Arabidopsis thaliana: one gene and its partner. The protein of the gene in region 1 purifies or fractionates together with the protein of each later gene. This does not show direct contact. Each region holds a gene or a part of one and is shown on either strand. Other genes may lie near its edges.

Evidence for each region. The genes of interacting proteins can lie anywhere in the genome.
Region 2: the proteins of MAC3A (region 1) and CDC5 purify together in Arabidopsis thaliana (affinity purification with western blotting; 2 studies listed by BioGRID, with this or other methods). This does not show direct contact.

The regions. Positions count from the first base shown.
Region 1 is NC_003070.9:1,224,936-1,231,448, reverse strand, and holds MAC3A (MOS4-associated complex 3A), read right to left. Parts: upstream 4,967-6,513; 5' UTR 4,701-4,966; coding exon 4,688-4,700; intron 4,598-4,687; coding exon 4,512-4,597; intron 4,363-4,511; coding exon 4,291-4,362; intron 4,203-4,290; coding exon 4,140-4,202; intron 3,870-4,139; coding exon 3,783-3,869; intron 3,634-3,782; coding exon 3,492-3,633; intron 3,404-3,491; coding exon 3,282-3,403; intron 3,119-3,281; coding exon 3,002-3,118; intron 2,744-3,001; coding exon 2,648-2,743; intron 2,553-2,647; coding exon 2,493-2,552; intron 2,396-2,492; coding exon 2,321-2,395; intron 2,217-2,320; coding exon 2,112-2,216; intron 1,946-2,111; coding exon 1,826-1,945; intron 1,733-1,825; coding exon 1,655-1,732; intron 1,557-1,654; coding exon 1,472-1,556; intron 1,385-1,471; coding exon 1,333-1,384; intron 1,147-1,332; coding exon 1,076-1,146; coding exon of another isoform or gene 1,070-1,075; intron 985-1,069; coding exon 857-984; 3' UTR 502-856; downstream 1-501.
Region 2 is NC_003070.9:3,159,818-3,166,126, reverse strand, and holds CDC5 (cell division cycle 5), read right to left. Parts: upstream 4,296-6,309; 5' UTR 4,126-4,295; coding exon 3,949-4,125; intron 3,684-3,948; coding exon 1,965-3,683; intron 1,733-1,964; coding exon 1,451-1,732; intron 1,362-1,450; coding exon 1,005-1,361; 3' UTR 578-1,004; downstream 1-577. Other genes in the region: iPGAM1 (Phosphoglycerate mutase, 2,3-bisphosphoglycerate-independent), read left to right, coding at 1-88, 174-329, 416-577; U2A' (U2 small nuclear ribonucleoprotein A), read left to right, coding at 4,524-4,605, 4,706-4,746, 5,110-5,239, 5,340-5,545, 6,046-6,204. UniProt on the Arabidopsis thaliana protein: Component of the MAC complex that probably regulates defense responses through transcriptional control and thereby is essential for plant innate immunity. Possesses a sequence specific DNA sequence 'CTCAGCG' binding activity.

The DNA.
Region 1 (6,513 bases):
TTAATAAGAGTTTATTTGTTGTTTAGCTTCCTTTTTACCACCTACTAGCTACTAGTGACCTTTGAATCTTATTCCAAATAAGTATGTCTCTAATCTAGTTTAAAGTCTAATCTTGTTTTTAAAGTCATTTAGTGACTTACTTTGTGTAACATTCTGGTTTAGTAGTTGGTTACTTTGGAAATTGGGTTTAGAGAAAGATACAAACTTTCTTGCACTTACTTGATTGTTGATACCAAAAACATGTTTAGGAAATTTAACCAATAACGGAATTACTAAAGATGAGCTATAAATAGGAAAAAAAAAAAAAAAAAAGGCCAGAGAGAGAGAAAGAGTTGGAGGAAGTGAAAAGGAATCTGAGATTGGTGGGGGAATGGGAAGATTGTGAAGTGTGTGTTTTGACCACAGTACAGTCAAAATCTCTGTCTGTCTCAGGGTTTTCTAATTTCTATGACCACCATCACAATCTTTTTGTCTTCATTTCATTGTCTTCAAGATTCATGACCCTTTCTATATAACACAAGTTTTTTAATTGTTGCCGTTTAGGTCCTACTGATTTGAATGATGAAGAAGATCATTTACATGCCTGTTCTTCATTTGCTTTTATAGTGAGCAGCTAACTTTGTTTTATGTGGACTCTTTCAGATCAAAGAGAGAAAGATCAACTGCAGATCCTTAAGGTACGATGTTGTTACAGGAAAATTGTTGACTGAGAAAGAAAGGGAGAGAGCTCAGGTGTGTATATGTGATTGTGAGAGGGGCCATCAGGAAAGTACCAACAGAACTGTAAAGATACAACAAAAATCGCGAGAATTGAGGATATAGCTACTCTTGATGATGAGACTTTTGAGATATCTCTTCATGAATCTTGTGCTGAATCTTCAGTATTGTCATCATCAGGTAAACCAAATATCCTGAGATTACGGTCCATTGAACCGACTGCTATGTATTTGGAGTCGAGTCCAAACTTAACACTTGTTGCTTTACCTGCACATTTATGTAGTTACAATGTCTGAATGATAGACTCAATAAAACAAGGAAGAGCAGTGACTTCAAAAGCTTAACATGTAGCATTTACCTGTACCGGACAGATCGGGAAGAGTCTTGATTGGGTTCCATTCTGCTTTTACACTAGCTGCTTGGAATACTCTACAACATTGAAGCACAAGTTTTCGATTAGTATGATTTGCAGAAGAAACGTATACATATACCCAAACTGCATTTCTGGTGATAGCAGGTTAATTGAGTTTGCACAACTATCTTTCAATATCTCGTTATCAAAGTGAGCTCCTATATCAATTAATTCCCAACATTGTGTATCAAAGTAGACCTCACCTTATATCTGAAGCAGCAATGCCAAGATAAGATCCGCTATGGTCAAACTCCACTGCACAAAAAAAGCTCATTCAGGCCTTAAGAAATGAAAACTCACTCAACAAAATAGACTAGTAAGAGTGCTCAGGTAGTTGAATACCCGAGTTTGCATCTGGAAAGTCAAAGGTTCGGAAGTTCTTTAACTTGCGCAAGTCCCACAACCTAACACCATCCAGTGCAGCAGTCTGTACAATTTAAAGAATAGTAAATATTGGTCAGTCAAAAGGAACCTGGTGCTATCCTTCTTTCTACTTAGTTTAGGTCAATCAGTCAATGTACCCACCGCAAGGAAATAACCGTTTTCAGAGAATGATATAGAGGTGATTTCTCCATTGTGTCCACCAAACTTTGCCACATTTGCCTATCAAACGACAGAGATAGAGATGAGAGTGAAGTGAGAACAAACTTACAAGTGACAACAGTTGATGAGCAAGGAAGGTCAAAGAGTTTTTACCTGACTTTTTACATCCCAAATCTTAACAATAGATTGAGCGGTACCAGTTCCAAGAATGAGACCATCAGGATGAAAAGCAGCAGCCGTGTAATTCACGTCGTTTTCGGAAGCATCTGTCACCTGAATAACAACAATAATGAGAAAGACGCATGGCAGAAACATTTATTCTAACGAGTCTAATTCACATTACAATAAAGAAGGTAAATGTTTCATTGTTATATTAGCATAAAAGAAGAAATCTGAAACTGGATAACAGGTATCAGGTGTGGATTAAAATTTTGGAGACCTGAGCAAGGCATAAACCGGAGGACAGATCATAGAAGCACCATGTACTGTCAAGTGATGCTGACACAAAGTATTTATTCGTTGCGTGGACAGTTACAGCTCGCACCTGAAAACCACATCATTGCTTTTACGTTAAACAGACCAAAAATAAATAAAACGTAAAACTGTATGAGACTGTAGCCTGTAGAAGTTCTTCAGTTACATCCTTACCTCGGCAGAATGATCTTTCAGTGTATGTCTAGAGGTATAGTTCCCATCCTCGGAACATCCCCAGATGCGGACTGTCTGCAGAGTGTTAAGAAATGAGAAGTTAATCTCTTCACTACTACTCCATAAAATCATGCAATCCTCAAAGGAGCTTGTACACATAACCTTAGCTTACCTTGTCGGATGAAGCAGTTAACACAAGATCAGTGTCACCAACGAACTTGATGCTTGTAACCTGCAAAAGGAACAATGCATGTCAAGCACAAAACTACAAAGGAAAAGTTAAAAAAGAAAATGAAATATAAAAAAAGAATACAGTAAAAGACAGACCTTCTTTGAGTGACCAGTCAGCGTTGATAAGATTTGTCCTGAAGGACGATCAAAGAGAACGGCAGTTGTATCAATTCCTCCCGTAGCGATGACATCCTGATTACCACATATAACGAGAAATTAAGAATAATACTAAATAGAGAACAGACACAGGGATTCATGGTAGTGTACAAAATCTATATACTGAAGAATAATATTGATAAGCATCCAGATGGGGATTCATGGCAGTGTACAATATAATGTAAGCGCAAAAGTAAACATGTCACTATGACGTTCAATGCAGTGACTTCTCAGGACAGAGAAAAACTACATAAAGTGATGAATGGAAAATAGAGAAGTTCTTAGGTGTCAAACCTTAGAATGTAGGATGTCCATTGAAAAAATTCCAGGTTTGTTGGTCTTGTGAAGGGGGTGGCTTGAGAGTTGGGTGAACTTCTCCAGAGCATCGACTGAAGCCAATGTTTTAGGGATCTAGAGAACCAATGAGGAGAAATTATTAAGACAGAAGAACCACTCGCAAATCTAATTGAACTCCAAAAGTGCAGATATCCATTGTATGTTACAGACAAACTATATATATATGTAATTCTCTTTTGCCTTCTATTTCCACTAATATACTGATATATGCAGTTACCTGTCTCTTTTTACGCTGCTGAGAAAGAGCAGCATTACAATCTGTGAGTTCTGTGATAACTTCAGCCGAAATTCCAAGACGCATTTTCTTTGCATTAGGCCCCTGCTCACCATCATCGATACCTATATTGCAACCAAAAACATAGTAGCTTGTTATAAGAGAAATTACCACATAGCCAACTTACATTGAGAAGCAAACGTGCAAGCATACCTCGTTTACCATTACTAAGAGCAGCATTCGATGTGGCAACTTCGGGGGCTGCAGGCAACTGCCTTTCAGCCTCTGCAAGCAATTGTCGTGATTCGTCTCTTTCTTTTTTAAGCCTAGCAATCACACGACAAGCAGCATCATGCTGCAAAGGAAAAGTGTATCCCCCATCAATCACCTTTTATCACAAGAAATAAATGGAAACATCCAGGAAAAGAAACTAGAATACATAATAGATATTTGTAATTCATGTAGTCTGATAAGGTGGTGGCAAATGCACCTAACCATAATTACCTGATACAAAGCGTGACTTAGCTCTTGCCTCGCAGTATGCAGTTGTTGTTCCAAAGCAAAATTTGATAGCATCAAACTGTCCCATTCCTACAAGCACAACAAACAGATAAACTTTTTAAGCATTTCTTTTGCCTAAAGTAAAAATAACCAGCGAACACTTTCGTCTTGCTATTAGTAACAAATGAACATATAATTCAATGTAAAGAGTAGAATGCAATCTGCTATGTTAAATAACTCAGATAGCGATGCATACCCAAATCAAGTTCATCCATTTTAACTCTATATGATCCTTAATAGACAGAGAACAAAATTCAGAAACGAAAAAGAAGGTATAGGGAATACAAAATAAGAACTTACAGTCTGAAACGTTCCAAGCAATCCAGGGATGCTAGCTGTGTGTAATGGTTTCGGCTTTACGATCTGCAAAATGGTCCCGGAGATCGAATCAGGCTTAAATAAGTTTCTACAAACAATGCTGTGTGACAAATAACTCCAGTGGTTGCATTACCTTCCCAGTTTTGATGGGAACAATGTCATCAAGAGTATGTGGCTCACCAGTAACCGGGCATTTCCCATAATCCTACAAGGTACCAAAAGCAATCTATAAATTATCACAACAAAGTCTGTATTAAGAAAATATCTGCAGCAAATAGAGAGGTGCAAGAGGCTAAACAGCTGAAAACCCTAGATAAGAGTCGAACGAGGGAGAAAAGAAAAGAACTTGCTTACGGATATATGCGTCTGGATTAGCCGCTTCTCGTAAAGCAAACCCGACTTCTTAGAAACCACAGGCTCCTCCGGAACTTCGCCGGAAACTGTAGAGGAGAAAAGACCACAGTGTTACCGACAGAAACAAAGCAAAATAAAACCCTAAATCGGTAAATAGAGAAGAAAGAGTGCCTTACTTGCACAATTCATCTTCTAAGTATAAACGAAGAAGAAGAAGTATACGCAGGACTAGAAGACTACTCGGTGAATCTTTAAATAGACTGGGCTAGGGTTTTAACTACTCCGGTCCGGCGCTACTAAACAAAATCGCAGAAGCCGGGAGGACGATGAAGACGGAAAGAGAGAGAGATGCAAAAATTGTTTAAGCTTAGGACAACAAGTTAGAGATTTCTTGTTAAACAAATGGGCCTTTTAACGAGACCTTGATTTATAACTAATTAGGCTTTTTTCTGAAGCCCATTAGTTAAACTATGTATGTTCGTTCATTCTTTCTGTCTGAGAAAAGAAACTCGAAAGTATAATTCTTACCCTTTTTTTTGTCATTCTTTTCTTTTATTTTTTCTGATTACAAATTCTTTTAAAGTATAAGGTAGGACAACGATGTACGGGCCATTCTATTTGCACGTACGATAGATGTGTTCTTTATGAACAAAAATTAGTCATAGCCGAAAAGTAGTATTCTCATAAAAAGCATATTTAGTATTCTCATTTCTCAACAATTAACATAGCCGAAAAAAGAACCTTATATGAACAAATCATTGGTCATACTATATTTTCATTTTTTATTAAAAAAAATTAGACTTCCGATTTATATAATATTGTCTGAGAGTTTGGTATTATAATATATTTGTGATAGCTCTGCAAAACTTAAATCATCTCGTTTGGAAAATGCGTGTGTGTAACACTGCACTCAAAGGCCAAAGCTTTTGCCGAAGATGCTCATATATATCTCCAAAGTATCGATTCATCAAATCAGCTTTGATCTCAAGCTGTTTCTTTTTCCTTTTGCCACCAAGTTGCTATTTTTTTCTTTCTCTTCATTCTGTTCTCGTTAAATGATTTCTTGCAACCTCATTAATTTCCAATTCTTAAACGTATGACCATGTTTATTTTATCACATACTGTATATAAGTTTAAAAAATTGCCTGAGTGGTGATATGTATTTTATATAATACATATAGTATATGTACATATTGTTAAACAATTTGAATGAAATAAAATTTTGGATAAATATCAGGAGAAAAAAAACTTAGATAGTCATGCTAATGATTTCAAATAATGCTTCATAGAGTTGGGGACCAAATAGAATGTTGATAAGTGATGTGATGATGTCCCGTTCCCAACCATGACCAAAACAAATAAACTAAAAAAAGCTAGAGGAGAACGAAAAAAAAATCGTCGTAATTACAATAGTAATTAATTAATGCGTATAGTCAATGAAAGTTGTTTTTAGAAGTTTTGAAGTGAAGGGATATTTTGAACTTAGCTGAGTAATAGTCCATGAAAGTTAGATTATTCACCTAGCTGACATTTTTTCATAGTTTGGGAATTCTTTATACGAAAAAAAAAGATAAAATAAAGGTAAGACCATGTTCGTAAAAAATTGTAGTTTCATATATGGTGTTTTTTTGTTAAAGTTTCATATATGGTGTTGATGACTATATAATCTATAAATCACATTGGTGTACCTTTATTTACGTTATCTAAGTCGATATATATTCCGATCTATAAAAGTATCTTTTCATTTGTATGATCAGTTCATTATTTGGTTATGGTTGTAAGGAAAACAACATATATAGAAAACGACAACTCGAAGCATGGTATGCTAAAACTATCACTGTAACGAATTTTTATCGAGAGAAACCATCTTGATATGAAATTTGTAGTTTCCGAATTTAACTAAGCATCACGTAACATTTTTTTTCCCCTCGAAATTTCCATAAAATAAATACATTTGACTTAGTACGATCTTTATCTCTTATTTTCAAAATTTTCACTGACC
Region 2 (6,309 bases), 1.9 Mb from region 1:
TAACATTCCAAATGGAGATATGGTGGGTCATACAGGTGATATTGAAGCCACGGTTGTTGCATGCGAGGCTGCTGATCTTGCTGTGAAGGTATGTTTTATAAGTTTATTGACAAGTCTTAATGATGATATGTGTGAGTGTGTGACTTAGCCCACAAATGGTTTGGTTGTTGCAGATGATTTTTGATGCAATCGAACAAGTGAAAGGAATTTATGTTGTGACTGCTGATCACGGAAACGCAGAGGACATGGTGAAGAGGGATAAATCTGGCAAGCCTGCTTTGGATAAGGAAGGGAAGCTTCAGATTCTAACCTCTCACACACTCAAGCCAGTAAGTCCATATCTGTAATCTGTGTTATTACCATAACATAAACCATTGGACCATATCTGATGGGAGATTGTAATTATTGTTTGTAGGTGCCAATTGCTATTGGAGGTCCTGGTTTGGCTCAAGGAGTGAGATTCCGTAAAGATCTGGAAACACCGGGGCTTGCAAATGTAGCTGCAACAGTGATGAACCTCCATGGATTTGTGGCTCCCTCTGACTATGAGCCCACCCTGATTGAAGTAGTGGAGTAGAAGAATTGAGAGCCTTATCAGTTTTTGAAGAGAGGGCTGAAACTCTCTAGTTATCTTTTGTTGCTTTTCTAATAATAAGAGTTTACACACAGACTACTTGTATTTTTGATTTTGGCTTTAGGCCAAAAACATTGAAATTCCATCTTGAATGATATGCAAGCTTTTTTCTTTCTCTCCCATACGATCTCTTCTAGCCAAGGATAAAATTTGCATTGAAAGAGAGGAGGATTAAACATCTTCAGATTGTACTTACATTTGGAACCAAATAGATCCTGAAGCATTCAAATTTCTTGACTCTTGCAAAGCATACAAACAGAGAATATATCATAACCTTTTTACAAAGTCATGACTCATATTAAAAAAACTTACCAATACAAAGTCAAGCTACGTCTCCTTAAAACTTGTAAGCAATACAAAACTCAAGTTTTTATGCAGAAGCTTCCATGGCTATGGCTATGTCCTCTTCCTCTCCAGTGGCTAGCTTAGCTTCTTTCAGTTTGTGAGAATCTTCAACATCCTCTTGTTTCTTCAATGCCTGTGCTCGGAAACCGACCATTATCTCCTCTGCTTTTTCAACCATTGCCAACATATTCCCATAGCGAGTCTGCAGTTTACTCTCTGTTTCCTTTTGCTTTATCACTTCCTCTTGCAAATTCTTTTTCCTAAAAGATGCAGCCATCTCTTCTTGCCTCTTCAATGCTTTAAAGCACTCTACTTCTGTTCCACCAATCTCAGCCTGCTTCAATGTCGCCTCTATTTGGGTCCACACGGTCTCTGCCCTCCTCTGTCAAATGTACAAATCCGTTAAACATTGACACCAAACAAAATATAGTTTCAGAATTAACATTTAAGGCAATGTGGACTATATGTTACCTCATGACCCTTTGTATAAGTTTTGTACTTGGCCTTCATGTGTTCTGCCTTCTTCTCATCCTCCTCCATCTTTTTTCTCACATTCTCCATCTCCTCCTGAAAAGCTGCAACTTTGTCCGCGTTCCCAGCAACACTTGAGAGCTCGTAAGCGCTTCGAGTGGGGAAATACATGAGATCATTCACGCATGTGTTGTGAGCTTCTACAAAATCATCAAGTGTCTTGTTCTCATGTCCCATTGACACACACAGAAACTTCCCCTCCTCCTTTATCATTTTGTCAGCCTACCAAAAATCATAAGCAACAACCTTCATTCAAAACTCCCTAGTGTATACCAAATTAATTACAGATGTTGATAATTAAGGAGGGATTAACATTCATGCAAAAATTATCAATCAAACAATCTAGCCTAAACCAAGAGAGAACTAAGGATTCCAGAAGCTGGCCAACGAATTAATCAACCAAAAAACAAAACAAAAGTAAACTGAAATTGGATAGATATTTTCATCTACATACCTCTTGGAGCTCATTTTCATCAAAATCGTCAATTGCAAGAACTTGAGAAGCAGAACGGTTGGTACGGTTCTTGGCTCCTTTCTTCTTCTCAGCTTTGTCATCAAGCGGATACTTTGCATTATCATGCTCCAGCAACTGTAGAAGCTCCTCTCTTACCATTTTATCTGCAACCTCAATCGGAGTAGGAGGAACAACAGAACTTTTGTCTCCATCAGCTGAAAGCAACGAGTTCCTAATTACTGCCAATGAAGCAGCTGGGGGTCTAGGAAGATCTCTCTGCAAGACCTTGGATCTCTTCTTAAGCAATGCCTGTTGTCTTGCTTCTTCCTCCGCCTTTTCCCTCGCTATCCTGTCTGACATGTCTTCCTCAATTTTCTCTTCTGGCTCTTCACTTTCCTCAGGAGGAGGTTGTGCAACTATTTGGTACTCGTTCTTTGGCTGAGGAAGCCCAGTCAAACCAGAGCGTAAACTCCTTCTAGCTTCCTCTCGTCTCTGCCTCTCAAGTTTTGCACTTTCGTGCATGTCCATGTCTTCGTTAATGTGAAGTTCATCCCTGAAGGGAGTCCCTTTGGGTGTCATAGAAAAAGAAGACCCATCCCTTGATGGCGTCAAGCCAATTCTTGGAGTAAGACCAGCACCACCAGGAGTCATTGAAGGGGTCAACATTGGATTAGGCGTTTGAATCTCCTTCTTTCTCGGAGTGACCCCAGTGAAGTCAGAAGGGTGCAACTCAGGATTTTCTCCTCCTAGCAAAGGTGTCTGAGAGTCTCTTAATCTGGCCAGGTTTTCTGCTTCCATCATAATAGCATCACCTTTACCAGCAGGAGTTCTTTGAGGTGTCCTCATGGGTGTCATTCCTTGCCTTGGTGTTTGTGAGTAATTTGCCAAAAGTGCACGAGTAGCAGCACTGCCTTCTGTTAGCTCCTCATTCTCGGCAAGAAGGTCACTGGCATAGCCCATCTTAGCAATTTCTTCTAGCTCGTGGTCTGAAATCTGCGGTGGTGGTAACATCAGCTTTGACCTCTTCCTAACAACTTCCGGATCATTCAGCTTGTTTGCTTGCAATATAGCTGCTGGAGCATCCTGTCTCTGAGCAATTTTATTCCTTGCAACATCTTGTTTGCGTAAATGTGCTTCTACATCAGCTCTTCTTTTTCCTTCAAGTTCTTCAATGGTAGTTGGAAATTTTACTTGATCAGCAGGACGATCTTCATCCGCAGTATCATAAAATCCCGCAGGTGCCCTCTTTTCAAAAGGAATTTCTGCATTATAGTCGATTCCCTTTCTCTTTCTTTTCCTATGCCTTCCATCAATCCCAGCTGCTTTTAGTTCTCTTCTTTTTTGCAGAGAAGCAAGCCTTCTAGCTTCCTCAAGTTGTTTTTCTCTAGCTTTTCTTTTAGCCTTCTTTCCCCTCGTGTTAGCCAATCTAGCTCTTGCTTCAGAAAGCATTTCTTTCTCATCTTCGTCCATGTCTACCGGATCAGGACGAGCAGGCTTTGCTTCTGGGTTCGGATCAATCTCACCAGGACGTAATTTTCGTGGATCATCCGCTGCATCATAATTTTCATCCTTAGTGCATGCTGCATCAAGGAGCTTCTCATACCTCTCAAGACATTGAGATGGTGTACGACCCACAATAGGAGCAATAGTTCTCCATTGAGTAGGCAGAAGTTTAGCAAGATGTAGAAGCTTCTCATCTTCTTCTCTGGTCCATTCAGTCTACATTAACATCACAAAATTAAACTCAGTTGTAATTCAAAAACATAAGAAAACCTTCGAATACTCCAAAACTCCTAGCATTACTGCCTACACTTTCTATGAATTTCCAGATGCAAATCAATACATATATACAACTAAAGCACCTAGTAACAAGCTAACAAACTACCTAAAAGGCCAAATCCCCAAACAAAAAAATGTTCGCCAGATCCATAGTTTTTTTTCGAACACTACTAGTTAAGAGAAGGAAAACGCGAACACGACTTACCTTTTTGATAGATGGATCGAGCCACTCGTACCAGCGAGCTTTACACTGTTTAGCAGACTTACGAACGAGAAGAGACGAGATCCGAGCCCATTGGTTCTTACCATACTTCATCACGGCGGCTTTGAGAATCTCATCTTCGGTGTTCTTCCAAACACCTCCCTTAATCATAATCCTCATCTTCGCTCAACTGTTTTTGATCCAACCGCACTCCAATTCAAGGTCTCTGAAGCTAATGCTCGTGGAACTCGGTAAGAACGAAGAACAGAAGGAAGCGAGAGAGAGAGTAACCCTAGATTAGGGTTGGAACCAACGAAGAAGAAAAGATTCAATCGTTCACTAGTCCTTTTCTTTTTATTTGTTTTTTCTTTTTAATTTCCAAAATCATAAATATCGGGATACACTTATGGGCCTAACCGACTGGGCCAATTCAATGGGCCGTTTATTTAAGTGATAAATTAATAGCAAAGGTCATTTTGCTGCGTTTTTATGTCATCTCTAGCCACTGTTGTTGTCTCTTTCCTCTGAATGCTTAGCAGCGACAGAGCTCGACGAAGCAGTAAAACCCTAGTAGAATAATGGTGAAGCTCACGGCTGATTTGATCTGGAAAAGTCCTCACTTCTTCAATGCTATCAAGGAGCGAGAATTGGATCTACGAGGTACACTTCTTCTCTTTCCCATTACATTTTCTAGGGTTTTGTAACCCTAAACGCACCTGCTCTGGTTAATCGTTCGTTTTTCTGGGTTAATTTGTTGCAGGTAACAAGATTCCTGTAATCGAAAACTTGGGTGCTACTGAGGTATTTCTTTTTTCTATCGATTTTCGTTTCCTCTTTGTCTGTTAGCTGAAGAATTTGTTGATGCGGTTGTATTGTATGTTCTTAAGTCTGCCTGTTGGGTTTCGGCATTCAAGTATTTTGAAAATCATTGACAGAAACATTGTTGAAGTAGCTATTGCTCCTTTGTCTTAGTTAGTATCTGTTTTCTAGCTCTTTAGGAGTATATGTGGCTTCGTGTAATAGTACCTTTTTCTTACTGTGGATTCTTTACTTTTGAGAGCCAGTCTTCTCTAAGAAAGGCCTCCCATAAATTTTGTGTTTGGCTTAGGTAGATTATTTGCAGGTTTGAGGTTCTCTAATTAACTTGTCTTGGTTTGCTTACAGGACCAGTTCGATACCATTGATCTGTCTGATAACGAGATAGTTAAGCTAGAAAACTTCCCATACCTCAACCGTTTAGGAACTTTACTCATCAATAACAATCGTATCACCCGGATAAATCCTAACCTTGGAGGTAACATCTATCTGTGTGTTGTAAGAAATGTCAATTCAAACACATTGTTTGCTTTGTTGGTTACCTGTGTTGTATTTATCGTATGGTTGTACATCTGCAGAATTCCTACCGAAGCTTCACTCTTTGGTTCTTACAAATAACAGGCTTGTGAATTTGGTTGAGATTGATCCCCTTGCCTCCATTCCCAAGCTGCAGTACCTTAGTTTGTTGGATAATAATATCACCAAAAAGGCAAATTATCGCCTTTATGTGATTCACAAGCTAAAATCACTTCGAGTACTGGATTTCATTAAAATCAAAGCCAAGGTAAGGACCTTATCATATGCTTTATCAACTGTTCATTTTTGCTTACCCTAGATGCCAACTTAATGTTATTTTATATGCTACAAGTCACCGGGAGCTAACCTTAATATCATCTGAAAAATAGAATATCTGAGAGCAAGAAATTGGTCTGCCTTTTGTCTTACGTTGTTTAAGATTCTTGTGCACAGTTATATCTGTATGCTGAAATAAGAAATTTCACTAATATTAACAACATTTAGCTAAAAGGGTTTGCTTAAAGTATATATAGTTTGGGTCTTGATGACTTGGTTGCCTGATTATCTTAAAGTTTTTTGTATTTAGGGCATAAATATAAACCAGACTTGATGTAGGGTGTGGTGTTTTTATTTAATTTCCTCGTGTTATAACCTTGTAGCCTTGGATCGGATAATAGTTTGGCTTTATCCTTTAGCCCACTGTTGTATATCTAAATTTTACAATGGTTATAGCAAGACCTTTTACCTGACATTATTGGTTCCTAACAGGAGAGAGCTGAAGCTGCATCTTTGTTTTCATCCAAAGAAGCAGAAGAGGAAGTTAAAAAGGTTTCTCGGGAGGAGGTTAAAAAAGTGTCAGAAACTGCAGAAAATCCAGAGACTCCGAAAGTGGTGGCGCCAACAGCGGAGCAAATATTAGCTATCAAGGTGCGAAACTGGAAATTATATAGGACCAAACATATTCACTGTTTTGTTGTCTTTATAATAAGTAGGTCAACGCTGTGTGGTTGATAGTAATTTCTGTATTTCATT